4 linked regions of the Notamacropus eugenii genome follow. The protein of the gene in region 2 purifies or fractionates together with the protein of the main gene of each other region. This does not show direct contact. Links are inferred from orthologs where the notes say so. Each region holds a gene or a part of one and is shown on either strand. Other genes may lie near its edges. The genes, in order: WWC2, PTPN14, STXBP4 and PDLIM7.

Region 1 (7,989 bases), on a different chromosome or scaffold from region 2:
TTGCTGAAAGATACAGTGGGGAAGAACACTTTGGGATGGAAAACTGACAAAATCAGCTTGTGAAGAAAGAGTTTCTCAGCTAAATATTTGAAAAGAGACATTAAATCTCCTGAGGACCAGTAAGAGGACAGCCACTGAGATGAAGGTAAAGTAGTGGTTGCGGACCATTGTGTTCCATCAGTTTCTTTGCATGTGACTATTTTTAGAATTTTGAAGTTTATAACTAAGGAATCATAAATCAAATAAGTGTGGGTTACAGGAAGATTATATAGGGGTTGTTGGGTCCATTGATGACAAAACTGGATTTTTGGAGTTTTGCCTCATCAAGTTACAAGTGGGTCACTGAAAACTGGGAGGCCCTCATTTGAAGCCAGCAGCAGCAGAAGCCATATGAGAGGAAGAAGTAGCTAGCAATAGGTACTATGTGTCAGGCACTCTATAATTATCTCATTTGACCCTCACAACAGCCCTGGGAGGTAGGCACTATTATTCTCCCCATTTTACACATGAGGAAAATGAGGCAAAGAGACATTAAAGTGACTTACCCAGGATCCTACAGCTAATAAGTGTCTGAAAATGAATTTGAACTGGGAATCTTCCTGACTCCAGGTCTGACACTCTATCCACAGTGCCACCTACTAAACTGAGGTCAAGAAACATCTCAAGACGGCAAAGATTGTTTACAGAAGACAGAATACAAAATCTGACAAGGACTAAGGTGACAAGAAAATTTTGTAGCTGCTTAGCTGGGAACCTGCTGATTAGAAGAGAAAGATTTCTTTGATCATGGACAAGAGAAAGGGTGAGTTAAGTGAGAGTTCTTCAGCCGCTCTGCTGTTGGGAAGAGAGCTAAATTCTAAAGTGTGCAGAGGAAGCTTATATTGCTTTCCAGCACCTTCTACCACCTGAGAGAGGGCTGTATGGTTGGTGTCTAATACCCTCTCTGGCTTGAGAGGAAGAAACATAGGGGGAAAGATAGACTGTGCATATGTTTTGCTATGAGCTGTTTTTTACTGTAAGAAGAGACTTGGAAAGAATTGGATGAAGCAGAATTCCCTAGTATTTGCAGAGCTGAGGAGTCTGTCAGTTCTCCAACTTAAAGTGACTTCTTGTCACTGAAAGAACTTAACAATATTTCTTCTGTCTTTATCAAGGTTGGGCTACAAGAGAAAAGATCTTATCTGCTTTGTTAGCTTGAAAGCAGAAAAGGAATAGGTCAGGACCAGAAAGAGAGTGGCTAGCAGAGAAACAGCTTCATAGGTTGGAGATTGTTCCTAAAGGGACTAGATGTATCAAAGCTTGGAGCCCAGGGGTGTAAGATACCCAAAACACATAAGTTTACAACTTTTATGTTTTCCTGTTAGATTTCTATAGATTTCCTCTTTCTCCTCAAATACTGTTAGCCTTGGTGGGAGGGCGTGACCCAGGAATATAGATGGTAGAAAAGTTTTTATAATTTCTGTTTTTGCCTTCACTTAAGTTGTGATTTTTATCATTCAGGCTTTTGCCTTCTGTTGAGTAAATGTTATTAATCAGTTGGTAAATAAATATTTATAAAGTATTTACTATATACCAGGCATTGTGCTAAGTGACAAATACAAAGAAAAGAAAGAAACAGTCTCTGCTCCCAATGAGTTCACCGTTTAATGGAAGAGACAATACACAGACAATTATGTACAAACAAGCTACATACCAGAGAAATCAGAGATAATCAACCGAGGAAAGGGAACAAAGTGTTCTCATAGAAGTCTGAATTCCTGTAAAAGAAGGTAGGATTTTAGCTGGGACTTGAAGGAATTCAGCGAGGCCAGGAAGCAGAGATAAGGAAGGAGTAAGAGCATCCCAGGCAGGGGGCACAGTCAATGAAAACGCCTGGAGTCAAGAGATTAAGAATTTCTTGTTCAGTGAACTGAGAGAAAGTCAGTGTCATTAGATCACAGGAACAGGGGGTTGGGGGGAGATGGAGACATGGGATGATGGTGCAAAAAGACTGAAAAAGTATCAAGCAGGTTACAGCAAAGGTTTATTCTTAATAATTTATTATCGTTGTTACTGTTATTTTTATGATGGCTGCTTTTGCTTTAGGCTTGAGTTAACATTGTCCTAGTGACTGACTTCATTTGAATGAGAAGCACATTGTAGGGGCTCAAGAGCTCCAGTGGTAAGCAGTAGAAGTGTTTTCCTGTTGGGACCCTGTGAGAGAGCAGTTGGTTGTAGCAGCCCAGTTATAGAAGTATTCAGCTCCACTCTGAGGAAGAAGAAAACAGAACTCCAGACTTCACAGCAGGAGGTCAGGTTAGGGCTGAGTCATTCAGCACCGACAGAGGAAGGTTGGGTCCAGGTGCCTTGTCAGATGTCAAGCCTGGCCCCTTGTAGTCACTATTAAAGTCTCTATACATTAGTGACTATCATTTTTGTAGTGTTGTGACTGCTACTCTTTTAATTTGAAATGACTTTTTCTTTTTGGTAGATTAAATTGTGTTCATTCTTTCTTTGGATATGGGAAAGAATGTGATTTCCAAGTATTCCCTAAGAACCACTAATGTCTTGACTATCATTGCCCAGTATCCATAGACCATGTTTAACCTCTGTTGAAAAACCAGGAAAATCCTGAATTTTTCCAGGTTGCTCAGGGGTTTTCAGAGGGGCCCTTTAGCCCATCCTCTCCCTACCTTCTTCCTAGCTCTCCAGAAATGCTCTTCTAATTATAGCTCCTGCAATGACTCTACTTAGCCTGGTACAGTGGAAACATTAGACCTGTAGTAAGAGGAGCTGAGTTCAAATCCTTTCTTTGCCTTTTTACTACTTGTATTATCCTAAGCAACTCACTCAATCTCTCTGGACCTTAGTTTCCTTACTGTGGCCTGTTGGCCTTCCTAGACGATTCAGTCAAAGGGTAGAACTTGAGGACCTAGAGGGCCACATGTGCCTCCCTCTCTAGATCTATGGTTCTATTTGAGCAGGCTATTTATTCTAAGGTGCACCTAAGTGGCATTGTGGATAGAGCACTGGGCCTATGTCAGAAAGATCTGAGTTCAAATTTGACCTATGTGACTCTGCTTGCCTCAGTTTCCTCATCTGTCAAATGACCTGGAGAAGGAAATGGCAAACCACTCTTTTCCAAGAAAACCCTAAATGGGGTCATAAAGAGTCAGACACAATTGAACATCAACTTATTAAATATGTTTTTGTTTCTTCCTTAAAGGTCTTTAATAGTAGGGATTGTTTCATTCATTATTTTTTAATCCTCAGTGCCTTTTGAAATTTAATGAACTTATTTGTTTTCAGTTTTCAACAATCATTTCCACAAGTCTTAAATTTTCTCCCCCTCCTTTTCCCCTCTCTCCCCATGCAATCTTATATGGGTTCCACACCATAGAAATACTTGTTGATTGAATGACAAAGGAATAATTCCAGAGTAAATCTAAGGACTAGAATCTCAGAATTTTAGCTGGAAGAGCCTTTTAAGATCATGTAGGCCAGTCGCCTTGTTTTATAGTTTAAGTAGTAAGATCCAGAGCCTTGCCCAGGTGACAGTTTCTTAACTATTCCCATCCTTCTTGATTTCCCTCTTCTCTGAATTATTAAAACACACATTATTTTGACCACAAAATTTAATTCTTCTTTGTCTTTTATTGGTTATCATGTGTTGTTTTCTCAAGAAAACTGTAAAACTCTGTGAGGGCAGGTATAGGGCTCAACACATGGCAGGTACCTGATACACTGTATTCAAAGAATGGTTTTTTAAAATTCCTGTTTCATCCAGGATGAGAGAACCAGGAGTCTCTCAAAGCCTACTGAGCTCCAAGGCCGCACTGGGCCTTCCCCGGGGTGGACTTCATGATTCTGCCCTCCCAGAGGGTCTTCTCTGGACTATCTACCCCACGGGCTGAAGCATTCTCAGCCTGATATGTCATTACAACTACAACAGAATTGTCCTAGAATGAGGCGATCTTTTGACTTGCTACCTGGTTCACAATGAGAACATTCACAGTAAAGCAGGAATTTTCTGTTGCACTGGACCTTCCCAGAAATCGACGTGACTGGAGCGCGAGGGTGTCATCCTGCCCTGACATCAATGGAGCAACTAGCTTCCAAACCCTGGCTCCTTTGTCCCTTCCTGGGGATAGCCCTGAAGCCCACCAGCCGGCAGAGGAGAGGCAGCATTGCAGCCAACACACATGCAGGACTAGGCGTTAAGGGTGAAGCCTGTACCTGCTTCCCTCCGAGGACTTGTTTACCTTTCCCTAAGAAACAAGGCTCACCTGAGAAGTGAACAGACTGGGGAGCACTTGGATGAAAGTCCCGAAAAGAAAACCTCCTAAGCAACAGCCACCGAAGTGCCGGGGGCTTTATTCAGGCTGCGGACCGCAGATGCCCTGCCTCCCCACCCGCCCCCCCAAAGCCAGCAAGGGCACCCAGCTGCCAGACACTGGACTGTAGGAAGGGAAGGAAAGGGGGGAGCTGGGCGGGGACTTGGAATCTGTTTGTGCGCTGGGGGCTTTGGGGGGATCCGGCTTTTCTCGCCCGAAGGGGAGATTCCCCTTCCTCTCGCTCCTCCAGGAACCCACAGGGAAGTTGGGAGGCTGTGGGCAGAGAGAGGGAGGAAATGTCAGAGTTTCCCTTTTGCAATCTCTCCCATTCTTGGGGGGCAAGAGGTGTTTAGGTCTTTGTGAGGGCAGGGAGGGAGAAGGGGAACAAGCTGATTTTAAAAATTCTTCCTCCTTCCTCCCACCTAGCTTCCCCCTCCCTTCCCCGGACCCCCTCGCTGGGGCAGGACAGCCCCGGGGCGCTGCAGAGGGTCGCGGGAGCCGCAGGGTTAAGCCCGAGGAATGCAGCGGCGAGGAATGTGCATGCAGATGAGCGGAGGGGAGGGAGGGGGCGGGGCTGCGGTGGGAGGGGCGGGGCAGGATGCTAATCATATGCAAATGAGCAGGATCCTCGGCCCCCGCCGCCGCCGCCGCCGCGAAGACGCAGCTTTTCCCGGATCCCAGCCCAGACGGCGGCGAGTCGGGCAGCCCGCGGGGAGACCCGGGGGAGGAGGAGGAGGAGGAAGAGGCGGAGGCAGCGGCGAGGAGGAGGAGGAGGAGGAGGAGGGGGATAATCCTAGTCAGTCTCCGGCTCCCAAGTGGACATGGTGGACTGATCCCAAACAGGACAGGGAGCAGGATTTCCTGGACGCTCCCCCCCGCCCCGTGTCGGGGTCCCCGCTCCGGTGCACCCCCGCCCCTGCACCCCGCCCCCTGCACCCCGCCCCTCCCTGTGCCGCGCGGTGCCCTGCCCGCTTCCCGCGGGGCTCCCGCCCGGTGCCCCCTGCCCGCTCCCCATGGAGGAGCCGTACCCCGGGGGGGCCGCCGACGACCATGCCTAGGAAAGCCGGCCATGGGCAGCTGCCGCTCCCCCAGGGCTGGGAGGAGGCCAGGGACTACGACGGCAAGGTCTTCTACATCGACCACAACACCAAGAAGACCAGCTGGATCGACCCCCGGGACAGGTGGGGGCGCGGGGGCCGGGCCGGGGAGACCCCCTCCCTCCCCTCCATCCCCCGGCCCATCCTGCCGCCCGAGGGCTGAGGGCTGAGGGCTGGGGGCGGCCGCAGGCTAGCGCTGCGCAGCGGCGGCGTTTGTCGTCCGGGAGACCGGGCAGAAGCGGCCGCTGCCGGTGCGGGGCGAGCTGCGGCGGGAGCCCGGGGGTGGGCTCGAACCCGCGGCCGAGCCGGCGCTGGGGGACCTCGTCGTGCATCCGCGGCTCTGGGCGAAGGCAGCCTGGCGGAGGGATGAGCCCAGGGGGCTGGACCCGCGAGCCCTCCCGGGTGCAGGAGCCGTGGCAGGGAGGGTCTGAAGCTGTCCGTCGTAGGCCGTGCTGGACAGCCAGCTCTCTCCCCATTGCACTCGGGTGGATGGATGGTCTCCCGAGCGCTGGGAGGGATGTCAGGCCGGGGCTCCTAACAGTCACAAAGAGATTAAGAGCCAGGGTAGGGGACAGAAGGCTGTTCCAGAGGAGGCTTTGCCTTCCAAAACAAAAGGCTTGAAGTGGGGGAGATGGGGAACTGAGTTACCCAGGCTACCTGTAGACATCTCTGTCAGTGGGACTTCCTACACCCCACCCTCTTCTCTCATAGTTGGAGTTTACAACTACATACAATATAGGGAGCCCAAGCCCACCCTTTGGAAGTCAGATTTTGGAAGCCTGTCTCTGCTGGAAAGATTAAACCTCGGAAGATGTATTACATCCTCCTGAGTGTGTAATGTATACAGTTCAATAGCTGACTTGACTTCCACTACCTTCCCATTCTTAGAAATGTAGACTATGTGCTTCATTACCCTATAGCGAGTAGCCTTTACTTTGAGATAGCGAACTGGGCAGTTTCCTTATCGTACAGTTCTTGAAACTATTCTTTAGCCAAGGCTGAAGGAGACCTGTTGGTCTTTTAGCCTTTGGAGACCTAATGTAACATCTACTCGCTCCCATTCTACGCTTGGGAAGCGTTTGCCTTTTCCTAGCCTGTAGGTATAAAAGAAAAACTATATATGTAATATATAGTTGGAATTTACAACTAGATACAGTGTAGGGAGCCCAAGCCCACCCTTTGGAAGTCAGATTTTGGCAGCCTGTCTCTGCTGGAAAGATTAAACCTAGAAAGATGTATTACATCTTCATATTACAAATATTATTACATATTACATATAATATTACATATGTAGTTACATAGTTATATGTGTGTATCTATATATCTAAACCATTCTGGAACTTTAAAAAATATCTAGTGTATCTAGTGAATATCTAGTGTATCTAGTGTTCACATTTTACATCTCTGTCCCTCCTCACTTTTTTTTTTCTTTTTAAAGAGTAAGTTGGTCGTTATTCGTACTAGGAGGGTGAATTTGGCTAGTTGTAATAATAATAGTTAATAGTAACAGTAATCAAGAATAACTCAGCCCTTTTGGACTTTTACCTCTTTCTGAAATTTCTTCTTCAGTTATTTATGGAATGTGGTCAGAGAAGTTAATAACCAGACTCTTTAAATTGCTTCCCCTTCTAAAGTTGTTTTTTTAAGATCTGAAGTAGAAATAGCCCTGGAATATAGTTACAATATTGTTATCCTTTATACTGTAGCTTCCTTCTACCTTTTGTATATTACTTGTAAAGGCTATTAAAGGTGATTATAAGGAAGTTATAAATGACATTATATATTCATGGAACAATCCTTGTTAAATTATCCATGAAGGTATCAGCTTAGGTTTCCCTACTGAAAATTAGAAAACGTACTTGTGCAGGACCTATCCCTTGTCAGAATTGCGCCCACCTCTTGCAGAGTGAAAGTTTTGACCAACATCACACCTTCTACAGGTGTCTCCAGTCATATTAGGTATTGCCATAAACTTAACACTGTAAATGTGTTATTTGACTTACCCCATTGCACTTTGAAACCACTTAACAGATAGTAAATGTCAGCTCTAATGTTATGCATGGAACTTCGTCATTGATGCACCTGTTTAAATATTTGCCTTCGACATTTGTGGGGTAGTTATTGCTTTTTCCAATACTTGTAATTGTAGGTTATTGAAATTTCAGGAAATTCTTGAAATATTTGGGTATTTTAAGTTCTATTCTGCTTCAGTTTGCCCTTTAGATTTTATCTTCCTTTCTATATTTACCAAATAAAAAAAAGATTACCAGAAAATGTAAATGCCCTAGGAAAGCAAATAGAAAGTGAAATATAATTATATAGCTAGGCTTATCTGTATCAATGCTTCTTAAACAAGTCAGCTGTGTGTTATTTTAAACTGTTATTAGATTATCAATTCTTGAGAATTTTATTGTCAGGAAAATAAGTAAACAATGCATCTTTTTGTCTGATGTGACTAAAAGCCAAAAAGTTGGTCCATATTACTTTAGTACTGTGATGGATGCTCTGGGGATGTTGGACAGATGTGACTACTTTTGCTCTAAGTATTGGGATTTTTTTTAAGTTCTTTTCTGAGGTGA
Region 2 (8,299 bases):
TTTTGTCCTGTCTCTCTTGGGATACTGGAAGTGACACTGGATAGAACCTCCTGTTAGGAAATTTGTTGTTCAGTCTTTTTTCAGTCATGTTGACCTCAGTTCCTCCATTTGGGGTTTTCTTGGCAGAGATACTGGAGTGGTTTGCCATTTCCTTCTCCAGATCATTTTACACATGTGGAAACTGAGGCAAACAGGGTGAAGTGACTTGCCCAGCGTCACATAGCTAGGAAGTGTCTGCGGTCAGAACTCAGGTCTTCCTGGCTCCTGTACAGAGTACCATGGAGTCAGGAAGACTTATCTGGCCTCCACTGGACACAACTGAGCAACAACCTGTCTCTCTTCCCTTCCTCAGGTGATAAAAGCTCTGGAATTCATTTTATTTGTTGAATACTTACAGACAAAACTAAAATAATAGAGTAGGATGTGGATGAAGGAAAAGAAACAAGGGAGAAGTAGGTAGTGTTTTGAATAGAAACCAAACCTTGCCATCAGGAAGACCTGGGTTCAGGATCCACCACTAACAAATACATGCTGTGTGACCCTGGACAAATTACTTCATCCCTCAATGCTTGGAGGCACTGAGAAATTAAGACTATAACTGGGTAGAGAAGCAAAGCTGTTGTGCAGTGATAAAGGGAGCTTTCTCACCAAGAGTTCCCTACATCAAAGACATTACTAGTCCAGACCAAAAAGAAACAGAAGGTTTCACAGGTAGTCCATAAACTGAACAACCAGCTCCTGGATATTCAACTGAATATCTTTAATCCCATTCAAAAAGACCTAGATTCCAATAAGAAAATAAAGATATAAGAGGAACTCATCTCAGTATCTCACCCTCACCTAACAATTCAAGAAAAATTAAAGTCTTTATGACACTTGAAACTTCTGTTATCTTTTTAGTGTACTGAAAGGCTCTTCCATTCTTGGCTCATTTACATGCTGCTGCCTGCAACTGAAATGTTTGTCTAAACTTAATGTCTACTTTAAGTATAACTGGCTAGAAAGACTTGTCTTCACCAACCACTCAGATCATACACCTTCAAGGAGAATCTTCACCAGTAGGTGGAGAGGCAAAGACAAACACAAGTGGTTATTTAAAAGAAATAACCACACATTTTTCCCAGTCAGATGCCTGATGCATAGAAATAAAATCACAAACACTAGCATGGCACAACCACCATGCACAAGACTCAGGCACTAATCATAGTAGTGCTATTAATAAAAGCAGCATGTTACACAGGAAAGGGCACTAGATTGACAATCAAAAAGAGCAGAGTTCCATGGCTAACTCTAGCTGATTATCAGTCTGATGAACCTGCCCAAGTCTCTTAACCCCACCCCCTCTTGTGGAATGCATATAGTGTATGTAAATATGAGTGTATGTACACATTATATATGGTGACATATGATATCAGCCCTACAAAGAGCAGTTCATTTAAAAACAAGCTACAAGTTGACACTTGCACTTATTATGATACCATAATAACCTTCTAAATTAGCGACCTTATACAGTATAATATCAGGCTAGAGCATAAAAAGCTGTTATATTCTGTTCAACTTCCTACATGTATCAATCCGTCCCTAATAAAGTTTCAGGAAAAAGAAAGTGGCTCTTATAACTGTGCTGCAGCAATAACCATAGCATTTCTAAGTGAGAAGAGAGTGAGCATTACTGACAAAGCACTCACTCTCACCAATGCATGACAAAGGCAAAAGTACATTTCAGATGTTCTTTGATCTCTATAGTGCTTACACAAAATAGGCAAGCCATTGGGCTTACTCCTAAAATGGATGAGCAGTAGCAAAGTCCCCACTGCTGCTACAACCTGCCACTTCACCGCTCTAAGAAAAGGTGACCGCAAGGAAAGGTGGAATAACGCAGCTACTGACAACCTCGACAACCTGCAGCCCATAGTAGAGCTCAATCCACACCTGAGGACGTATGGGCATAAAAGTCCCTTTCATCAGGTTGATTCAAATCTGTCTGTGCCCTAAGTCATCTCTATCACTGGAGAAAAAGGCTTCTCCTGACCTCTAACCTTTAACTCAGCCCCTACTTGACTGAATTTTCCTGTGGTTACTAAATCTTGATTTATTCTATCCTGGGTATTTTTTTTCTTTCTGTATTTGATGGTTGAGGGGAAAGAACCATCATTTCTTTTTCAAACTGATCCGCAGAGGAAAAAGTAGTACACTGTCAAATATCCTTGCTGCAAGAGCCCTTGGTTGCAGAACTAGAAGACGTCCCCACTGGAAAGCAACAAGTAAGAACCCCATGCTTCCGTCCTGAGTTCTCGCCTTACAGAGAGCAAACAGAAAAGGGGGCAGAAAGCTAGGTGGACAGCACATTTTACCTTTCTGCTCCCTCCAGGTGAGACGATGCTAAGCCTCCAGCAAAGTGTCCCCCTAAAAACTGTTTTCCAATGAGGAAGGAGTTGTTAAAGCTCAATCCGTTTTGTGGGGGATTTTTTTGGAAGAGGAGGAGTGAGCCAGAAAAAGTTTGGTCCCAGACAAATTTCAAAGATACGGGCTACGGGGCCCAAAAGAGCTGTTGGCAAACATGGGGCCTAGTGAGGGGCAGGAAGAAACTTCTCTATTCACCGGGCTTCCCCGTAGTGGGCTAGGCGGCGGGGTGTCACACCAGAGGAGTCTGCCTCCCCTCAGTGGAAGAGAACGTTCTAAATCCCTTATCACTCCCCCTCCCCCAACAACGTGGATATCTTCAGAAGGCAACCCTTCCCCCCAAAACTCAAAGGAGTTGAAGGAGGTTTCGGCTGATCAGACCCCTGGCGACCTCCAACCCTCACCAGGCAAGCTCTGTGCCTTCACTATGAGAATAATCCAACTGGCCAGCCAACTCCTGCACCAGCGGAGGCGTCCGTCAGTCCGTCCGTCTGGTCTGTGGCCGGCCAGAACGCAAGTTCGCTCTCCAAGTGTTTGCCAAAGTCATCTGCAAGCAGCGGCGGAGCTGAAAGCCAGCCTCCCAAAGCCCCTCTGGGGCTCCAAGCAAAGGCACGGACACCGGAGCTCCAAGCCTCAGCCAACACGCTGTGTGTTACGGACCCCCACACTTACCTGCTTACACGTCCCCCCCGGACAGAGGTCCCGAGTCCCCCACGGAAAGGTCGGCGGCGGCAGAAGCTCCAATTCCCCAAGGAATTTATTACAGTGGCTGATTTGGGAAGGGGAGGGGGGAAGTAGTTGGAGGAGGAGGAGAAAGGGGAGGGAGGTTTCCGCTCGGATCAAGCGAGGAGAGTCCAGGAAGGGAAGGGAAGGGAAGGGAAGGACCGGAGAAGGAAAGGGGGAAGGAGAGTGAGAAGAGAAACCTAGTCATCCAGTGTGGGTTTTGTTCCGCGGCCGGGAGATCCCAAGGCTTAAGGCCCGAGAGGATGGGGTGAGGTGGGAGGCAGAGGGAGGGCCCGCTAGCAGCTACTTTGTGTTTGCTCTCCCAGGAGGACTGAAGGTTGGAAGAGGGGACGGCGGGGCGGAGGCAAAAATAAAAAGTTACGGCAACCTGCCCCAAGAGCTGCTCACGTTGCACTCCGGGGAGGGAAAAGTTTGCCCTGACTTTCGTGGGCTAAGCAAGCGAGAGCTGCAGGAAATGCAAGCAGGGAGAGGGGAGGGAGGAAAGGGGCCGCTTGGGGGAGAGAAGGCGAAGCAGGCGCCGGGGGCAGCGGCGCCCCCACCCCCCAACGCGGCTGGACTCCGAGGCGCTGGGGTGCCGGGAGGAGGAAGGAGGGAAGGGGCTCGCGGTGGGGGGCGGAATGGAATGTGGCCCGAAGAGGAGTCCCAAGGGTGTAGGCTTTGCTGCTCTGTGAGCGCGCCTCTGTGTGTGTGTATGTGTGTCTGTGTGTGTGTGTGTCTGTGTGTGTGTGTGTCTGTGTGTGTGTGTCTCTTTCTGCGTGTGTTTGGAACACGAAGCTGGAGCTCCCTAGCCGAAGCAGCCTGCTCAGTGCGCTGAGCTCTGGCCTTGGGGACGTCACAGAGCAGGAATCCGTGGAATGTGGGGCTGCTGGAGCTCCTGTTGCAGGGCCGGTAGATGTCCAGGGACTTCTAAATATTTTGCTTTTAGGAGGGGGGAGGGAGGGTGGGGATAGTGAGAAGAGGTCGAGGTGAACTACCATCCAAGAGTCATAAGCTTCAGAATGGAAACGGGGAAAAAAATACCCTAGCTGGAAGAACGTTGCAGCAAAAGTGCAGGAAAGAAAAGCCCACCTCCGTCCCTGAGGGGCGGAGCTACAGGAGGGGCTTGACCAAACCCTCTGGGAGAGACCAAATATACCCCCCTTTAAGGGGACCCTGTGCCTGGTCACCCCACGCACAAGCTTCCAGGAGCATCTGACACCGAAGAGAGCATCTCTGAGAAAGCAGTGGACCATTGTATCCTAAGCATGCTTAGTGGCTTTCGGCCAGATTGGTCTTAGAGCATCAAGGACCTAGTCTCCTTGACGACCCCCCCCCCTCCGCTTATAAAAAATGCATATAAATAGAAACATAAATGGAATGTATCTTTCTTCCTGATCATGTGGTACCACATAATTGCTCCACCCGTGGGCTTGGCACTGGAAGAGTATTTCCCTAAATCTTTTGGAGGTGATGTTGAAGTAAAGCAGTATGACGGGTAAAAGAAGCCCTGACCACAGTTATAGGCCTGGCCCTTCCACACTGACTAAATCTACGACCTTGGGCAAGTCCGGACCTTTTGAGACTAAAATGATGGTTGGAGCCCTCTCAGATTTCTTATACTTTGGGTGGTAAGGGGGAAGGAGAAACAGCAAATATCCCCTGATCATTATCTAATCACAATTTTCTATTCTTCCACCTCTCCAACTATTACATTAAGCCTGTTCCTTAGCCTAATTAGGACTTTCAGTTCTTTGACCCATTCCTAGTCTCCTATCCGATCTCTGCTTTATTTGCTTACTATTACTGTCGCTACTACCCTAGAATCTTGTGTACCTCACCCGCCCCACCCCACCACCCACACACCTACTGCCATTCCAGACCTGTGAATCTTCATCCCCACAGTCCAATGGTTTGATCCAGCTCCAAAGTCACAAAGCATAGATTGAGGTAATCAGTCAATCAGTTTAAAACAGTTATTAAGCATGCTAGAAATACAAAGAAAGGGAACAACTGTCCCTTCCCTTACTGCTCTAATTCTATAAGGAGAGACCACATATAAATAAGTACTTACATGATACATACAAATAACTTCATGTGGGGGAAGGCACTACCAGCGGGTGGAGAAAGAAAGTCTGCTTACACAAGGCAGGATTTGAACTGAGTCTTGAAAGAAGTCAAGGGAACTAAGAGGTAGAGGTGAGGAGAAAGAGAATTCCTGGCATGAGGGAGAGACATGCAAAGGTATGGCTATGGAAGATTGAGTATAGTACTCAAGGAAGAACAAATAGGTCTTTGTGGCCAGAAGATTGAGAGCTTGAAGAGAGGCAAAGTTTAAGAAGACTGGAAAACTAGGAAGGGGTCAGGAGATTAAATACCTTAAAGACTAGGATACTTATATTTTATTCTAGAAGCAATAGGAAGCCACTGGAGGTTACTGAGAAGGGAGGTTACATTATGAGACCTTTGCTGTAGAAAAATCATGAAACAGCTGACTTCACTACCACTACAAATTTGTTACATAACCTTAACTGGACCTTTGATAGTGATCCACCCTCCTTCAGTATCTTTTATTCATTCTCCATTTTTATTTTCCACAGTATATTTTAAGCTTTCTCTCCTCCTCTCTACACCACAAGCCCTCACATTTACAGCATATAATCTTGCTTCTGAGTCAGTTCATCGATAAACATTTATTAAGTGCCTATTATGTATATCCCAGGCACTCAGTAGGAACACTGAGGTAATATGGTGGTGTAATGGAAAGAGTATATATCTGGAGTCAGGAAACTTGGATTTGAGATCCTGGTTTTATCACTTACAGCCTCTGTGACTTTGGGAAATCACTTTATTTCTTTGTCCCTCAGTTTTCTGTCTGATGATGAGAATGAAGTAGTTATTGGTGTCAAACTCAAACAGAAATGGGAGCCACTAATCATGCATAAAGATCCCTTCAGGTGCCATATTAGCTTAGAAAAACATACATGTTCTTAGATTTCTTTTTTTTTAATACACCAATGCATTAGAATCAGATAGAAAGTGATTCAGATCACTCTCAGAAGTGTTTTGGGCTGCTTGCTGCCTGGGGACCCTGTGTTTGACATTTGTAGACTAGGTGACCTTGGAGATTTTTTCCAGTTCTAAATCTGTGAACTTATGACCTCTCCCAAAGTCCCTCCTCCTTCTTCAGTACTTGGCAGCATCATATCCCCTTCTCTCCTTTCCTTTGGTCACAGAAAAAGTATTGCCAAGTCCTCATCTCTAAGAATAATCTTCTACCTCAGGGGTGCTTAACCTGGGTTCTGTGAACTTGGATTTTTCATATAAATATATATATATACACGTATGTATATGTATGTATGTGCATATATGTATATATATACACATACACACATATGTGTAACTATTTTAGTAAAATTGATTTCCTTTGTAATCCAATGTATTTTGGTTTATGAATTTTAAAACCTTCTAAGGATTCTCTAGGCTTTGCCAGGCTGCCAAAGGGAGCCATAACACACAGAAAAGGTTAAGAACTGCTAACCTTACCTGTTCCCTACATACATTCTCTCTCACTTCCTCCAGGACCTTATTCTAGTTATTGTTGTTCAGTGGTTTCAGTTATGTCTGACTGTGACACCATTTGAGGTTTTCTTGGCAGATAATGGAGTGGTTTGTCATTTCCTTCTCCACCTCATTTTACAGATGAGGAAAGTGAGGAAAACAGCGTAATGTGACTTGCTCAATGTCACACAGCCCAGATTTCAACTCAGGAAGATGAGTCTTCCTGATTTCAGACCTGGCACTCTATCCACTGTGCTGCCTAACTGCCCCCTCATTCCAGCCCCTTCTTATCTTATCCCTCATTCATCCCTTTTCTCCTTTGAATATCTTCAATTACCCCCTCTCCCCTTGTTTCTTCCAAACTATCTAATAATATGATTAGGTCTCCCTAACTTAAAGTTTTAAAAAAAAAGCTTTCTTTGGATTTTTTTAACCCATTCAGATACTGTCTTCTCACCACACTCCTCTACATTACTTGGCTTCTTGAAAAGTTGGCTATATGCAGCATCTCCATTTCTTTATTTCTCTTCTACCATTTACATTCTGATTCTTCTGAAATTGTTCTCTCAAAGATTACCAGTAACCTTGTGATTGTGGAATTCTACTTGATTTCCCTCTGCCTTTTCACCAAGAGTGTGCTAGTAAATGTTTAACAAACAGCTTTCTAGTCAGGGGAATGAACATAAAACACACTATGTTTCATCTATTCTAACATTTTCTCAGTCACTTTTTAGGTCTAGACAAGCACAAAAACAATAAATCAAGCCTGATTGCATTTACTGATTTCCAAAGTCTAAATGCTCATACTGAAAAATAAATTGGATCCAGGTAGAAGATGAGTCCAGCACATGACTGCTTTTAACCAAGTTAACCATTTCCTTTCGGAAGTACTGACTCCTATGCTTCAGAGACACATTTATATTTTTGTTTGCTTCTTACTTCTCTATTTCTTCTCTTTCTCCTTCCCTGGATACTCAACTCCTTTTTGATCTCTTCTTGATCTAACCTCAAGGGTCTGTCACATGGTTTTCAAGTCTTTATCACCTCTCTTCTGAGTTTCATATCTGCTTCTTCAATTGAGTTCAGATATCCAACTGAATGTCTCACCACTACCCCAAACTGAAGATGTTCAAAACAGAATATATTGTCTTTCTTCCTATTATCAGTCCTCTCTTACTTTTTTTGCACAATTTCTATCTTTTACCCCATCACCCAACCTTTTTTTCATGTTTATAACCTTGGGGTTATCTTTGACCCTTTTCTCTCCTTCAGCTCTCATAATCCTAGAAATTCCACCCCCAAAATATCTCACAAATTCATTCCCTCCAGTTTATTCTCATTTTCATCACTCTAGTGGAAACGCTTATTATCATTCCCTTGAACTTTTGCAATAGCTTTATGACAGATATTTTTTTACCTTTATTACCATCCTCTTTCCAATTTGTTCTTCATTCACATTGCCAGAATAATTTAGGTTATGCTTACATCTGGTAATGTCATTCATTTATGCAAAAATGATTGCCTATTATCTTCCAATTAAAGTTTAAATTCTTCTACCTGACATTCAAGGCTTTTCACAATCCAATGTCACCTTATCTTTCCAATGCTATCTCAT
Region 3 (7,564 bases), about 57 Mb from region 2:
ATAAAGTGGTAAGGGAGAGGTATTGAGGAGAAAGTAGATGATGAGGAAGTAGAGGCATCATAAACTGTAAAAACTTTCAAGAAGTTTGGCAGTAATGAGAGAGAGAGAGAGAGAGAGAGAGAGGAGTAACTGGCTGGAATAGAAGTGTCAAAGAAAGGTTGTTTAAGGTCCTAGGATTGTAGACCATGTTTGCAGAGCAGGGAGGGAGAAACAAGAGGAATGAAAGACAGGTAATGGTTTTTGGAGGGAAGGTCAAGTGAGGAGGATTGAAAATAAAGGGGAAAAAATGTTCTGGCTCTCAAGTTAAAGAGATTACATAGTTTAGCAAGTATTTTAATCAGGGTTTTATAGCAGTGATGCTAACGCTCACCATGATCATTTCATGAGAATCCAGGAGTTCCTGAAACCTTGTGACACTCAGTTCTTGGAAGCAAGGGTGGAAAAAATGTATGGGAGTGGGAGAGGAGAGAAAGAGGAAGAGACTAGGCAGAGGGAAGGAGAGAAACACATTAACATGATTAATATTAGTCATAATTTATAAATTTTTAGATGTGATTTTCTAAAGATCTGAAATTACTTAAGAGTAACAAGAATTCATTTTTGAATTAAAGTTATTATCTAGTCCCATCCTACCTCTAAAGCTGACCCCTCCTGATGGCCTATGGAGGGTCATACCTCTCTGGGCTTTAGTTTACTCATTTGCAATATGAGGGGTTTGAATAAGATAAAGGTTCTTTCTACCATTCAGCATGGACTACTAAATGTGGCAATCACTTACATATATTTCGGTTTGTTGAGGCCTAAAATTCCAGTGAAGACTTGCATGCACATCTGCATTGAAGGTGACTTTAATGATTCGATCCTTAACAGGTACCATAGTCTCAATCTGGTCTGAAGCATGACCAGCTACAGGTGACCCACCAAGTCCTGTGGTCTGGGAAAAAATTATTACAAAGTATATTAAAAACAAGATTTATAGATTTTTAATGAAGGTGCATCATAATCATGAAACGTTCCTTTAAAACACTACCACAGGATTAAAGGACACCTGATCTACAGTGGGCAGCTAGGATAGTGTGCCAGGCCTGGGGTCAAGAAGATTCATTTTCCTGAGTTCAAGTCTGGCCTCAGACACTTACCAGATGTGTGACCCTGGGAAAGGCACTTAACCCTGTTTGCCTCAGTTTCCTCATCTGAAATGAGTTAGAGAAGGAAATGTCAAACCACTCCAGTATCTTTGCCAAGAAAACCCCAACTGAGGTTACAAAAAGTCAGACACAGCTGAAACAACTGAACAAAGACAAAGATCTACAACTAGAAGGCACCTTAGAGGCTAAAGATTTTTTGGGGGGGAGTTGGGGTTAAGTGACTTGCCCAGGGTCACAAAGTTAAGTATCTGGGTTGGATTTGAACCCAGGTTCTCCTGACTCCACCTAGCTGCTTCCCCCACTACTCCCCCAAAAAAGATTTCAACCAAGTCCTGAAGTCCCAAAAATATGCTTTCCCAATGGAGCAGAGAACTACTATTTTAAATATGTCTTCAAATAACTGTGACAGTGCTCCTAATTGCTTCAAAATATATAAACATGCTATGCTACCATTTAAATTTTGTTATTATTAGTGCACCTTTTAAGATAAGTATGGAATACCTACATTTGTACAATCATTTTACTTTTAAATGTTGAACATCTTAACTAATTTCCAAATCAGTTCACTAAACAAAGCAGAAGCTAGCACTAAATAACAAAAGGCATCTGAGGCTTTATTCTAGTGGCCACATCCCTAAGAACCTGATAGTCCAGTCATTTAGTCAGTTCTAGATCAATCTAATTATATTCAATTGAAAGCATTTATTATGTTCCAGACATTGTGCTAGGCATGTATAAAGAAAATATCAAAGCAAGAGTACTTGTTTCAAAGGGCATACATTTTAAAGAGGAAACAACAGGCATATACATACACATATGTATATACATGTGTATATACATATCTACAAAACACACAAAGCAGATATAAGATAAGCAGGGATTGGGGGATAGACGTACTACCAGGAAGGGCCTTATATTAAAAGTGGCACCTGAGTTGAATCTTGAAGGAAATTCCCAGGAATTTCCAAAGTTGGAGATGACAGAGAGTTCATTCTAGGAAAAGGCGAGTCAGTGCAAAGACATTGCCTGTCATTTGCAAAGAATAGAAAAACTGTAAAATGCATGGGAGGAGTAATGTGTGATCAGGTTGGAAAGGCAGGATGGAACCATGGTTTAAAGAATTTTAAATCATAAAGAGGAGTTTATATTTAATCTGAGAGAGGGAGACACAGCTTCATCAAGTAGAGTTCAGACCTGAACTTTAGGAAAATTACTTGGCAGCAGTGAGCAAGAAGGTAAAGATAGAAGGCAGCAGGCAGGTCTGTTTAGAGGCTATCTCAATTGTCCAGAGAAGTGAGGAGGGCCTGAGTGGAAAGTGATTGCCAGGGGAGAGATGTAAAGAGATGCTGCAGAGGTAGAACTGACAAGATCTGGCCATTAGCTGGGAATGTCAGGTCTCCAAGTCTAGCTGTGCCTCCTAATTGCCTAACAAGCAGGAGCCTGGTCTTCTCTAAATGTCATTTCCTCCAGGGCTCCATACAATGTTCTGTACCCAAACACCACATACTTTGTAACCTAACCCCTCCCCCCCCTGCCTTTCCAGTTTTCTCACACCTTACTCCTCAACTACTACTTTGTAACCTAACCCCTCCCCCCCCTGCCTTTCCAGTTTTCTCACACCTTACTCCTCAACTACTACTTTGTAACCTAACCCCCTCATGCCTTTCCAGTTTTCTTATACCTTACTCCTCAACTACTACTTTGTAACCTAACCCCTCCCCCCCCTGCCTTTCCAGTTTTCTCACACCTTACTCCTCAACTACTACTTTGTAACCTAACCCCCTCATGCCTTTCCAGTTTTCTTATACTTTACTCCTCAACTACTACTTTGTAACCTAACCCCCTCATGCCTTTGCAGTTTTCTCACACCTTACTCCTCAACTACTACTTTGTAACCTAACCCCCTCCTGGCTTTCCAGTTTTCTCACACCTTACTCCCCCCAAACTACCCTGATCCAGTGAAACTGGCTTCATGGCTGTTTCAAGAACAAGACACTGCATCTTTTGGCTCTGAGCATTTTCTCTGGCTGTACACCCTACGCATGGAATGCTCTCTCTCCTGTCTTTGCTCCAACTAAAGACCTCCCTGACTTCCTGTAAGTCTCAATTAAAATCCCACCGACAGGAAGCCTTCCGTACCCCTCTCAGTTTTAGTGCTTTCTCTCTTTCCATTATTTCCTATTATTTGGTTGCATTTTTATCTCCATGCCAGGTTGTAAGCTCCTGGAGAGCAGGGGCTGTCTTTGGTCTCTTTTTGTATCCCACCACTTGGCACCAAGTTTGGCACACAGTACGTGCTAATTAAGTGTTTCTGGAACTGAACTTAATAAATATTTGATGAATGAATGATTGAATGAATGATAATACGGGCAGTGTCACAAAGGACAAAGTGCGGGAATCTCCAGAGCAGGGAGCTGGTTAACAGCATTAAAAGATGCCCAGAGGTCAAAGAGAATAAACACTGAGAAGTCACTGCATGGAGCAAGCCTGCATTCACACAGCGCCTTTGTAAAAGCTTGCAAAGCACTTCACGTAAATTATCTCACTGGATCCAGATCACCAAAGACAAGGAGGGGTGGGCGCTATTTTTTACGCCCCTTTCACAGATGAGGAGGCTGAGGCCTGGAGAACCCAAAGTCACAAAGGGCTGTAGGGGGCCGGGCTGGGATTCAAACCTCAGTCCTCTACAACAGACCCAGACTCCTTCCCGGTAAGGTCCCGTCCAGTCGGCGCGACCTTGGGCCCGTCCCTCCCTGCTCCGGGCCTCGGTTTCCCGGCGGGTAGGAGGAGCCTCCGGGTCCGGGTTGCCGGCGGCTGCCCTACCTGGCAGTAGAGGCGGTAGAGGGGCACGGCGGCGTACGAGGCCCCGATCATGCCCACGGCGGCCGCGGCCACGTACGTGAGCACGGTGCGGTTCCGCCGCCGCCACTCCTGCTCCTGCTCCCGGGCGAACGGGTTCGTGCTCTTCGGCCTCCACGGCGGCTGCCGCTGTTGAGGGGCCGCGGCCCGGCCGCCCCACCAACCCCAGCAAGCCTGGAGAGGCTTCCAGTGGGGCCGCCCAAACACCGCCATGGCAACCCGGGCGAAGCGCCCGAGCCCCACTTCCGGCCCCGGAGAGCGCGAGATCGGGCCCTCGCGAGCGTGGCTGCTGGGGCCCCGTGACGTCAGAGCGCGCCGTCGGCTGGCGCGGCTTCTCCAGCCCGCTGCGGCGGCAGCGGCAGCGGCAGCGGCGGAGATAGCAACGGCCCCTCTTCCAGCAGCCTCGGCTTCGGGGACGCGCTACGGCGGCCGAGCGGCCGGATTGTGGGTGAGTTCGCGTTTCGCTCCCGGGCTCGAGCCCCTCCCTATCCGGCCCCCAAACTCCTAAGCTTCTGGTTCCGCGCGTGGAATCTTCCTCGGTGCCAACCCACTCCCGCTCGAGTCTGGGGCGAGAGTTCCGCTCAACCGGAGACCCCGCCGGCGGCCTGAGCCCCTCCACCCACCCCCAGTTACCTCTCCCGATACTGATAATGAAAGGAGGCAGGCTGAGAGGGAGAGCCCGAGTGTGACTCGCGCCTCTGCCCTTCTTGCTGTGTGACCTGGGCAGCGTCGCTCAGCCTCTCTGGTCCTCGGAGCCCAGCTGCACCAGGAACGACCTGGGCTAGACCAGAGGTTCCTTACATTTTGGGGAGGATTGTCACAGACCCCCTGTAGCATCCCATCGAGCGCGCTTTATTAAGTCCCTACCAGGTGCCGAGCACAGTGCTAAAAGGCTGGAGACAAAGAGAAAAACAAACCCCAGCCCCCGTTCTCCAAGAGCTCGTAGTCAAGTGGCAGCCTCGTAGACCCGATGAACTCCCCGACCCCACCTCACTCCCCAAGGTTTTAAAATTCATAAAATACATGGGATTTTAAGTCAAGTCGGCAAGCATTTTTTAAGAGCCTATTGTGTTCGGGGTGCTTTGCTAAAGGCTTAACAAGTATCCCACGGAGGTAGGGGATACCTTTATTCCCCTTTTGCACATAAGGAAGCTGAGGCTGAGAGAGATTGAGAGACATGTCCAGGGTCACAAAGCCAACACTTGTGTGAGGTGAGAATTTGAACTCAAGACTTTTCCAAGTCTCTGCCCTCAAGGAGCAGGGGACAACAGCGCATGAAAAGGAAACCAATTACCTTGAAATACAGTGATATCAAAATACTTAAAATGGATTCTCCCTGTTGATAATCCCTGGACCAGATAATTTTTTAAAAATTAAATTCTGTCAAATTTTTTTTCCCCATCCTACGGGCGTTTGTTTTTGTCCCTTTCTGTCATCTTCCCCACTCCCAAACAAACAAACAACAGCAAACCCCTTGTAACAAGTAAGACATAATCAAGTAAAACACATTTCCACATTGGCCAAAATAGATGTCTCATTCTTTATAATGCAGAATATTTAAAAACCTTTCTGCTTCCGTGGTCTGGATCTAGTGATTTAAGGACCTACATTTTCTTTCTTTTTTTTTTTTTAATTAATACATTTAATTTTAGTTTTCAACATTCATTTCCATAAGCTTTTGACTTCCAAATTTTCTCTACATCTCTCACCTTCCCCACTCCGAGACATTGTGCATTCTGATTACCCTTTCCCCCAATCTGCCCTCCCTTCTATCACACCCCTCCTTTCCCTTATCCACATCTTCTCTTCTTGTAGGGCAAGATAGTTTTCTATACCCCATTACCTATATTTATTTCCCAGTTGCATGCAAAAACAATTCTCAACATTTGTTTCTAAAACTTTGAGTTCCAACTTCTCTCCCTTCGTCCCTCCCCACGCATCCCCACTGAGAAGGCAGACAATTCAATATAGACTATACATGTGTACTTATGCAAAAGACTTCCATAATAGTCATGTTGTGAAAGACTAACTATATTTCCCTCCATCCTATCCTGCCCCCCATTAATTCTGTTCTCTCTTTTGACCTTGTCCCTCTCCAAGTGTTTACTTCTAATTACTCTCTCCTCCCATTTGCCCTCCCTTCTATCATCCCCCACCCCACTTATCCCCTTCTCCCCTACTTCCCTGTAGCGTAAGATAGATTTTCATACCAAATTGAGTATGCATATCATTCCTTCCTTAAGCCAAATGTGATTGAGGGTAAGCTTTTTCCCTCTCACCTCCCTCCTTTGCCCCTCTATTGAAAAAGCTTTTTCGTGCTTATTTTATGAGACATCATTTGTCCCATTCCATTTTTCCCTTTCTCCTCCTAGTATATTCCTCTCTCACTCCTTTATTTTTTTAGATATCATCCCTTCCTATTCAACTTACCCTGTGCTCTCTCTCTATATGCATATAATCCCTCCAACTACCCAAATACTGAGAAAAGTCTCAAGAGTTACAGATACTGTCTTTCCATGTAGGAATGTAAACAGTTCAATTTTAGTAAGTCCCTTATGATTTCTCTTTCCTGTTTACCTTTTCATACTTCTCTTGATTCTTGCATTTGAAAGTCACATTTTATATTCAGCTCTAGTCTTTCCATCAAAAATGCTTGAAAGTCCTCTGTTTCATTGAATGATCGTGTTTTCCCCTAAAGTATTATACTGTTTTGCAGGGTAGGTGATTCTTGGTTTTAATCCTAGTTCCTTTGACATCTGGAATATCATATTCCAAGCCCTTCAGTCCCTTAATGTAGAAGCTGCTTCATCTTGTGTTATTCTGATTGTATTTCCACAATACTAGAATTGTTTCTTTCTGTCTGCTTACAATATTTTTCTTTGACCTGGGAACTCTGTAATCTGGCTACAATATTCTTAGGAGTTTTTCTTTTTGGATCTCTTTCATTAGGTGATCAGTGGATTCTTTCAATATTTATTTTACACTCTGTTTCTAGAGTATCAGGGCAGTTTTCCTTGATAATTTCAAGAAAAATGATGTCTAGGCTCTTTTTTGATCGTGGTTTTCAGGTAGTTTCATAATTTTTAAATTGTCTCTCCTGAATTTATTTCCAGGTCAGTTGTTTTTCCAATGATATGTTTCACATTGTCTTCTTCTTTTTCATTCTTTTGCTTTTGTTTTGTAATTTCTTGATTTCTCATAAAGTCATTAGCTTCTATCTACTCCATTCTAATTTTTAAGGAACTATTTTTTTCAGTGAGCTTTTGAACCTCCTTTTCCATTTGACTAATTCTGCTTTTTAAAGCATCTTCTCATTGGCTTTTTGGAACTCTTTTGCCATTTGAGTTAGTCTATTTTTAAAGGTGTTATTTTCTTCAGCATATTTTGGGGTCTCCTTTAACAAGCTGTTTACTAGTTTTTCATGATTTTCTTGCATCTCATTTCTCTTCTTAATTTTTCTTCCACCTCTCTTACTTGATTTTCAAAATCCTTTTTGAGCTGTTCCATAGCCTGAGACCACTGCATATTTAATTTGGAGGTTTTGGTTGTAGAAGCCT
Region 4 (7,972 bases), on a different chromosome or scaffold from region 2:
CCTCTGGCGGACCTTTCACAGTCTGGCTCCAATCTACTTTTCTTGACTTATTACTCCATTTTGCTGTTTCTCCAAGTTGCAGTCTAAGTAGCTATAGCTCTCTGGACTCAATTCCCCTCTTTTTGCCTTGCACAGGCTGTGGCCCCGTAGGTGTGGCACACCTTCCATTTTAGGGTTCTAAGCTTCCTTCAGAGCTCGACTCAGCTAAGTCCTCCCCTCATTAGTGCTCCCTCTCTCATCAAAGCACTTTATATATACTTACTTGTGTATGTGTTGTATTCTCTCAGCAAGACAGAAACTCCTAGAAGACAATGACTTTTTTATTTTTGTCTTTGTACCCCAAGTACCTTATAAATTGAGTAGTTTGTTAAGTGAATGAATGAGAAGTAGGGAGGAGGAGTTCTCTGGTTGGGGCACAACAGACCCCATCCACTGTTAGTCGGTGTACAGGCCTAGGGATCCCTTAGATAGGCCCTTTCTAGTTAGCCTGAAAAACTCCCTCTCTCATCATATTATAACATGCTGTTGTTCAGTCTTTCAGTCTCGGACTTTTGTCCATGGAGTTTTCTTGGCAAAGATGCTGGAGTGGTTTGCCATTTCCTAGATTATAGGATAATTTAATTCGACAGGATTTATTTAGTGACTGTGACATTTATTTATAGAATGCATATAGAATGCAGGGCTCTATGTTAGGCAATGGGGACATAACGATGAAAATTCATGGGACTGTAATTTTAGAGCTGGTAGGGACTTTAGGGGTCACCTTGTCCATAATCAACCGCACTTTGTAGCTGAAGAACGTGAGCCTGAAAGTGCTGAAGTGATTTCACCCAAGGTCTCACAGTGAGCAAGTGGTACCAGAGCCAGGATTTGAACTCAGGTTTCTGACTCAGAATCTAGCATGCTCTTACATTACAACGTGGTGCCATAATTCCTGCCTTCAGAAGGAGTAGTATGTGTTTTGTGGTTATTGCTCCGTAGTGTCTGACTCTTTGTGATCCCATTTGGGGTTTTCTTGGCAAAGACACTGGAGTGGCTTGCCATTTCCTTCTCCAGCTCATTTTTTTTTTTTTTGTGGGGGGGGACAGTAGGAATCAAATGACTTGCCAAGGGTCACACAATTAGTGTCTGAGGCTAGATTTGAATTCAGGTCTTCTTGACTCCAGGCTGAGCACTCTATCTACTATGCCACCTAGCTGCCTCTAGTATATGTACCCAGATAAATATAATCCAAGATAGAATATGATAGGGGCAAAGAAAAAGGTCCAAATGCTCTAGGAAAATCTGAGAGGGTTCACTATCTGAGGGATGCATCAAAAAATGCTTTGGGGAGGAGGCTGACTGATACACAGATGCATTCTAGGCACAGGAGACAGCCAGGTGAACAGGCCTGAAGATGAAAGATGGTATTGTTGCTTGTGAGGAACAGAGAGAAGGCCATGGCCATTTTTGTACTTTGGAAGTTTTTCCATTTTCTCTATGTTGCTAGTACAGTCCCCTTGAAAAAGCTTACAACTGGGAACATGTACACTAAGGCTAGGAGAATCAGTGGTATCAGCAATCCCTAGAGGTCAGACAGGGACTGGGGGCAGTGGGAAAGACAGAAAGGCTTGCCCTGCTCCACCCTTACCATCAAATAAAGAGATCAGACCCTGCTGCTACCCACTGAACACCTTCACCCAGTCTCCCACCAATAACTAAAATCCAAGGGAGGTAGAGATGAGTTTGAAGGAGAGATCCAGGCAAATTGCTAGGAGAAATGTGAAAAGGGAGAGAGAGAGAAAGACAGAGAGAATCAGTTTTACCTGATGAGGGGGGGGTAAGGCATCAGGGAAGGAAGCCTTCATGGAAGTGGTGACACCTGAGTTGGCCCTTCAAAGAAGTGGAGTATTTCAACAGATATGTGGAGGTGGGGGTGTGGGATGGTTTTGAGTGAAGATCAACATCTTTGGTCAAACCCAATTCTAGCCCCTTCTGAGGGTGTTTTTGTTTTTTTTTAACTTTTTTCAAGGGGTCTCTACCCCTCTAGACAAGAGTAGAGAGGGGAGAGACTAGGGGATAGACCAGGGGTGGCCTTGAGGCCACATGTAGCTTGAATTCAATCAAAGGGTTACATTTGAGGGCCTAGAAGGCCACATGTAGCCTTGAGGCCAAAGGTTCCTCACCCCTGGATAGACCAATTAAAGTATCCATTGCAATAGTCCTGGCAAGAATGATCAGGCAAGGGTTGAACTATGACCCTATAAGTGAAAAGAAGGGGATGGATCCAAGGTACATTACAGAGGTAGAATCAACAAGATTTGGCAACTGGTCAGGGAGAGGGAAGGAAGAAGAGCCAAGAAGAACTCTGGTAGTATCACAGACAAAGTAGGGAAGGCTGGGGAAGGGGCAGTCTAGGCAGAAAGCAGCCCTGTGGGTAGAGGCCCCTTGGGAAAAAGTTAAAAAAACAAAAACATCCTCAGAAGGGGCTAGGATTGGGTTTGACTGAAGATGCTGATCTCAGAGCTAGAGGGACCACAGAGGGTCTCTAGTAATAAATTAAAAAAAAAAAAAGAAATAAAAATAAATAAAAAATAGAAGCTCCTCACAACCTGCCCTGCCCCCTTGCTTCTGACTGAAGACCTCCAGTGATGGAGAGCTCATTGCTTTCCTGCCTGGATTATTCTCTGTAGCTAGGTCTCCATCCAGGCAACTGCCTCAACTTGCTTTGCCTTGAATGAGTTTGGAGAAGTCCATAGATTCTCTAAGATCCCAGTCCTTTTTTTTGGGGGGGGGGGGAGAGGTCAGAAGGAGATAGAGCCCATGCTCCACTCTTCATTCCTAGTCTTCTGTCTTCTCCCCATTTTTATGTCTTCACTCAAAACCATCCCACACCCCCACCTCCACATATCTGTTGAAATACTCCACTTCTTTGAAGGGCCAACTCAGGTGTCACCACTTCCATGAAGGCTTCCTTCCCTGATGCCTTATCCCCTCATCAGGTAAAACTGATTCTCTCTGTCTTTCTCTCTCTCTCCCTTTTCACATTTCTCCTAGCAATTTGTCTGGATCTCTCCTTCAAACTCATCTCTACCTCCCTTGGATTTTAGTTATTGGTGGGAGACTGGGTGAAGGTGTTCAGCGGGTAGCAGCAGGGTCTGATCTCTTCGTTCCATTATAATCACCTTGAAGGTAGGACTGTCCTCAGCGTATAATCGGGTGTTTGATAAAGTTGGCTGAATCAAACTGAGCTGATTATAGGGATACAGTCAGCTAGACATAGATCTCTCAGTCAGCTTCGAGCAGCACTTAACAGAAGCAAGGGTTATTTTTTTTTCGGGGGGGGTGGGGGGCAGGTTACTTCCTTGAGGAGGGGTGGAGGATGAGGGAAAGTTTCTTGGAGGAGACATATAGTGTTTGTCTGGTAGGAAGGGAGCTGAGGGGGAGGGGACACTTGGGGGTGGTTTGTTGTGGCCAAAGCCTTTGGAGGGTGCCTGGAGATTGGTACCAGGGAACAGGGCAATGCAGTCAGTGAAAAGACTTCTAGATGTTATGTAACTACAAAAACCTGGAAACAACCAAAATGTCCAACAACCGAAGAATTCAAGAAATCATGGTATATTTGTAATGGAATTCTATGTCATAAGACCCACAAGTTAAGAACACAAAGAAATCTCTGGAAAGACCTTTAAGAAAAAACGGCAAAGTAGAGAAAGCAGAAGAATGGAATACTTACTTCTATGACCATATAAGACAAAAAGTGAATGAGAATGAATAGACAAAGAAGGAATTCTGAGGTGAACTGAGAGGGAGTGACCCAAAAATTCTTATGATTCTTCATTTTGAAATTGATTAAAATATTTTATTTATATCTTTTGTTTTTACATCACATTCCTCTCCAGACATATTCCTTCCTCCTTGTGCCCAGAGAAACATCCCTTGTAACAAAGGATTAAAAAAACCCAGAAGAGTAGTGAAGTCCAACTAATCAGTACATCGACAAAGCCTAACCATGTGTGCCACGTGCTGCACCTACAGGGTCCCCCACCCCCAGTAATTGATTTGAATGTAAACAGTTACTAAACAAGTTTCTGCGGTCATCTTGAGGGTCGATTTTAAGCTTTTTTAAAAAATTATTTTATTTTCAGCACTGCCTTCTCTCTCTCTCCCCTCCTCCTCCTCTTTTGGGAAAGCAAGAAAAACATTTTACAAATATGTAGAGTCAAGAAAAACAAATTCCCTCCCTGGCGACGTCAAAAACACAAGGGCTCAAGCTCCAAGTCTTGACGTTTTTACCCTGTCCCCCCTTTTAAGTCTAGGCAGGAAGTCGGGAGATCTGGGCTCTCATTAGGGTCTGCTCCCGGGAATCCTGGATAGAGCCTGAACTGGCAGAAGGCAGCTCTTGGTGCGGACGCTGCGTCCGAGCACTGCTCAGCTGGGTGACCGGACCAGTCCCTGAACCTGGCCGAGTCTCAGGTGCCCCGTGAAATAAAGGAGAGTGCGCTCGAGGACCTGCGGGAGCCAGGGCCAGCCCTGCCACCCCGCTGCAAAGAGAAGTCCACCCGAGCTGCTCGCTCTCGGGGCATGCAGGCCCAGGCGCGGAGCTCCCGGGGAGCGTCCACCTCGCCCTCGGGCATCCTCCGGGGCTCGGCCCGCAGGGGCGGGGAAGGTGGGAAGGGCGCGGTCGCTCCCGGACTCTTCGGGTCCCCCCCGGGCCGCCCGAGACAAAGCGGGAGAAGGGGCGGGGCTCGGACGGGGGCGGGGCATCGGGGGCGGGGCCTCCCAGACCCGCCCCCGGGAGCTCAAAGGCGGTGGCGGCGGCTCCGGGCGGAGCCAGAGCGCGCCGGGGCCGGCCCGAAGCGGCTCGAGTGCGCGCAGCCCGCGGTCCCCACGGCGCCCCCGACGCCCCGAGCGCTGCCAGGTAACCGGCGGTGGGCAGCGGGCGCGGGCTTTCCCGAGCGCGGAGCCACGCGGCTGCCGCTGCCGCCCCCGCCTCTGCCCCGGGGCTCCCGCTCCGGGCACCCCGCCCTGTCCGGCCCGGGGCTTCGGGCTCAGGCTGGGGCGAGAGCAGCCCCGTGTCAGGGCCCGGCCGGCGGCCCCGCCCCGGGAACTGGGAGGGAGGCAGGGAGGGAGTCGCCCCGAGCACCCCCCATCCCGGGGGCGGTGGGGGAGCTGCTGAGTCCGCTTCTCCCGGAGGGCGGGCGGGCCTGGAGACTCCGGGAACCACCGGACCCCTTCTCCTTTCCTCCCCGAGCTGCGGTGGGGGACTGATGGACAGCCCCAGTCTTCCTTCCCTCGGTGGGGGGATGGGTGGCTGACCCTCGGTCCCTCCCCGGGGAGGGGGCTGACATCGCTGGGGGGATTGGAGGCGCCGCCTGGAGCCGGTCCGTTTACCTTCTTGGGAGGCGAAGGCGCTGACTTAGCTTTCTCGGCTCTCCCCGATGGGGGAGGGGGTGCCGGGACGCACTTATCTGTCAGTTCTTCTCCTCTGCTACCAGCCTGCCTTGCTTGTCCTACCTCTCCCAGAGGCTCCGGAAGTCTCGTGAGGATGCTGACCTCCGGACGTGAGCTTCTGCCCTTTCTCTTCGGGGGATCGGAAGGCACCTCCAAGGCCATCTATGGTCCGACCCTCTCATTTTACAGATGAGGAAACTGAGCCTCAGGGGGGGGTTAGATGACTTGCCACAGGCTCAGACCCCTCCTGTCCTTTCTCAGGGAGAGGGAATATCTTTCATCTAATGTCTGGGAGACCTACCCTTAGGCAGTGGTACCCTTCCAGTCCACAAGACTGTTGGACAGTACATTTTAACAGGCTTCTGGGGAAACTGAGGCAGGAGGGCTAAGGGAACTTCTGGCCATATTATATATCTGGCCTGCCTTATATTGGCAGCAGCTTTCCTGGCCTAATAGTTACCTAGGTGTTAGTCCTTTCCTACCCTGAGAAGCAGGCCCTCAAATGTCAGGACCCCCACACACACCTCTAGCCTGGAAGGGTGTTGAGCACTAGGCTTGTTTGTCTTAGTTCTAGGCCACCCTTCCCCATGTTCCCTAGGGGCTCTTCAGAAAAAGAAGCAGGCCCTTTCCCTCCTCAGAGTCAACAACACATCTCCTAGGCCTGGTCTCCTTTCCTCTGAGATCAGCTGTCAGCTCAAAGGGTTCCCTCCTTCTCTTCCTGTCTTGGCTGGGGGAACAGCCAAGGCTGGGATGGGCTCCAGTCCCCTCCCCCACAATCTCTCTTCCCTTCAACCCCCCCCCCCCTCGTCCCTGAGCCCCCAACGTGCAGTATCGGCTTTCATGCCTTATATAGCCTGAGTGAGGCCTCTATGTTTCACTCTGGCCTGCCCCCACTCTGACCCTGCTCTCACCCAGAGGCTCAGGGGGTGGGGCTGGGTGGGGGTAGAGGAGAGTTTTTTGGGCTCTCCCCATCCCTGACTCTAGAAGACTACTTCCCATTGGATTCTCAGGGGACCCTTAAGCAGAACCCCTTACTTAGTGGGGGATGTTGTCAGGGGAGAAAACAATCCAGGTTAGAGATGAACTTTCTCAGGGCCTGAGCAGTTCCTTCTCTTTCCCTTAAGCAGGTCGAAGTCCTCGACTCGATGTCTGTCCATCTGGCATCTGGCCCGATGTCTGTATGTCCACTGTCAGGAACCAGTCAGCCTGCGTGCCTCAGCTGAATCTTTTCTATTTTTCCTTCAGGAACAAATCAGCTGGCACCATGAATCCATACAAGGTGACGCTGGATGGGCCAGCTCCATGGGGTTTCCGGTTACAAGGGGGCAAGGACTTCAACGTGCCCCTCTCCATCTCTCGGGTGAGACAAGAACTTACCTCCTCGTTGAATGAGGGTGGGGCAGTAGGTATTAATGTGTTCTTTCTGGGAGTTGGCATAGGAAGCAAAAAGAATGGGGCCATTGATGGTTGTTCTAGTGGGCAGGAGGATGATGATTCCAGGTCATACAAGAGTGCAGACAGGGTTTGGGACTTTGCACTTGGGACTGGGTTTGAATCTTGGCCCTACTACTACCTACATCAGTGACCTTGGGCAAGTCATTTAACCTCTGACTCTATAAAATGGGGGATAACATGACCTATCTAAAAGGGTATCATGAGGAAATAGTTTTCTTAGTGCACTGGTTGGTTTTTGGAGTCAAAAGGCCTAAACTGGAATTCAGCTCTGCTACTTATTCTGTGTGTGTGACCTAGGGCATATCAAGTTCTAGACTTGTAGCATTTTTTGTAAATTTTATAGTGCTTTAACTATGGAAAGTATCATTTGTTGAATTTTGTTTGGGCAGATGGGCTCTGCTGAGTACTAAGGGTGAGATGGAAATGGATAAAATTTGGTCAGTGGCACACAGTGGGTCTGGAGTCAGGAAGAGTTCAAATCTCTCCTCAGACACTTGGTAGCTGTGTGACCCTGGGTAAGGTACTTTGCTTGCCTCGGTTTCTTCAACTGTAAAATGGAGATAATATCGCAGCCTACCATGTAGGGTTGTGAGGATCACTTGAGATATTTGTAAAGCACTTAGCATAGTACCTGGCACACAGTAGGTGCTGTATAAATACTCATTCCTTTCCCCTTCCCTTTGTTCTGCCCCTCAAAAGCTTGCATGACACATCTGCAAATCCATAGATTATTCAAGCTAGAAGGGGACGTTAGAGATCATCTGATGTAACACCCTCATTTTCTCTGTGAAGAAAAGGGAGCCCATCGAGGGGATGTGACACAGCCAGAGTCACACATTTGTCAGTGACATCACTGAGCCTCTGTTTCAGGTCTCCCAATTCCCAGCCTTCCCTTCCCTTCCATGAAACACTCTGCAAGGCCTTGGGCAAGTGTAGCTCCGGGGAGATCAGTGTGACCTGAGGTGTTGTGCTACAGTGGAAAGAGAATTATTGACTGTGGAGGCAGCGGACCTGAGTTCAAATCCCTCTTCCTACCTGGGAGACAATGGACAAATTAACTTCCCAGGACTTCCATTTCCTTATT

The links.
Region 1: the proteins of PTPN14 (region 2) and WWC2 purify together in Homo sapiens (affinity purification with mass spectrometry, with the first as the bait; 3 studies listed by BioGRID). This does not show direct contact. The link is inferred for Notamacropus eugenii from reciprocal best matches to the Homo sapiens genes PTPN14 and WWC2.
Region 3: the proteins of PTPN14 (region 2) and STXBP4 purify together in Homo sapiens (affinity purification with mass spectrometry; 3 studies listed by BioGRID and IntAct, counting the BioPlex papers as one, with this or other methods). This does not show direct contact. The link is inferred for Notamacropus eugenii from reciprocal best matches to the Homo sapiens genes PTPN14 and STXBP4.
Region 4: the proteins of PTPN14 (region 2) and PDLIM7 purify together in Homo sapiens (affinity purification with mass spectrometry; 3 studies listed by BioGRID and IntAct, counting the BioPlex papers as one, with this or other methods). This does not show direct contact. The link is inferred for Notamacropus eugenii from reciprocal best matches to the Homo sapiens genes PTPN14 and PDLIM7.

Annotation. Positions count from the first base shown.
Region 1 is NC_092878.1:101,433,925-101,441,913, forward strand, and holds the start of WWC2 (protein WWC2), read left to right. Parts: upstream 1-4,945; 5' UTR 4,946-5,363; coding exon 5,364-5,494; intron 5,495-7,989. UniProt on the Homo sapiens protein: Regulator of the Hippo signaling pathway, also known as the Salvador-Warts-Hippo (SWH) pathway.
Region 2 is NC_092873.1:423,312,651-423,320,949, reverse strand, and holds the start of PTPN14 (tyrosine-protein phosphatase non-receptor type 14), read right to left. Parts: upstream 3,191-8,299; 5' UTR 3,076-3,190; intron 1-3,075. UniProt on the Homo sapiens protein: Protein tyrosine phosphatase which may play a role in the regulation of lymphangiogenesis, cell-cell adhesion, cell-matrix adhesion, cell migration, cell growth and also regulates TGF-beta gene expression, thereby modulating epithelial-mesenchymal transition.
Region 3 is NC_092873.1:366,587,321-366,594,884, forward strand, and holds the start of STXBP4 (syntaxin-binding protein 4), read left to right. Parts: upstream 1-4,275; 5' UTR 4,276-4,455; intron 4,456-7,564. Other genes in the region: COX11 (cytochrome c oxidase assembly protein COX11, mitochondrial), read right to left, coding at 779-934, 3,972-4,220. UniProt on the Homo sapiens protein: Plays a role in the translocation of transport vesicles from the cytoplasm to the plasma membrane. Inhibits the translocation of SLC2A4 from intracellular vesicles to the plasma membrane by STX4A binding and preventing the interaction between STX4A and VAMP2.
Region 4 is NC_092872.1:414,317,553-414,325,524, forward strand, and holds the start of PDLIM7 (PDZ and LIM domain protein 7), read left to right. Parts: upstream 1-4,772; 5' UTR 4,773-4,900; intron 4,901-5,477; 5' UTR 5,478-5,543; exon of another isoform or gene 5,544-5,600; intron 5,601-6,309; exon of another isoform or gene 6,310-6,505; intron 6,506-6,678; 5' UTR 6,679-6,697; coding exon 6,698-6,793; intron 6,794-7,972. UniProt on the Homo sapiens protein: May function as a scaffold on which the coordinated assembly of proteins can occur. May play a role as an adapter that, via its PDZ domain, localizes LIM-binding proteins to actin filaments of both skeletal muscle and nonmuscle tissues.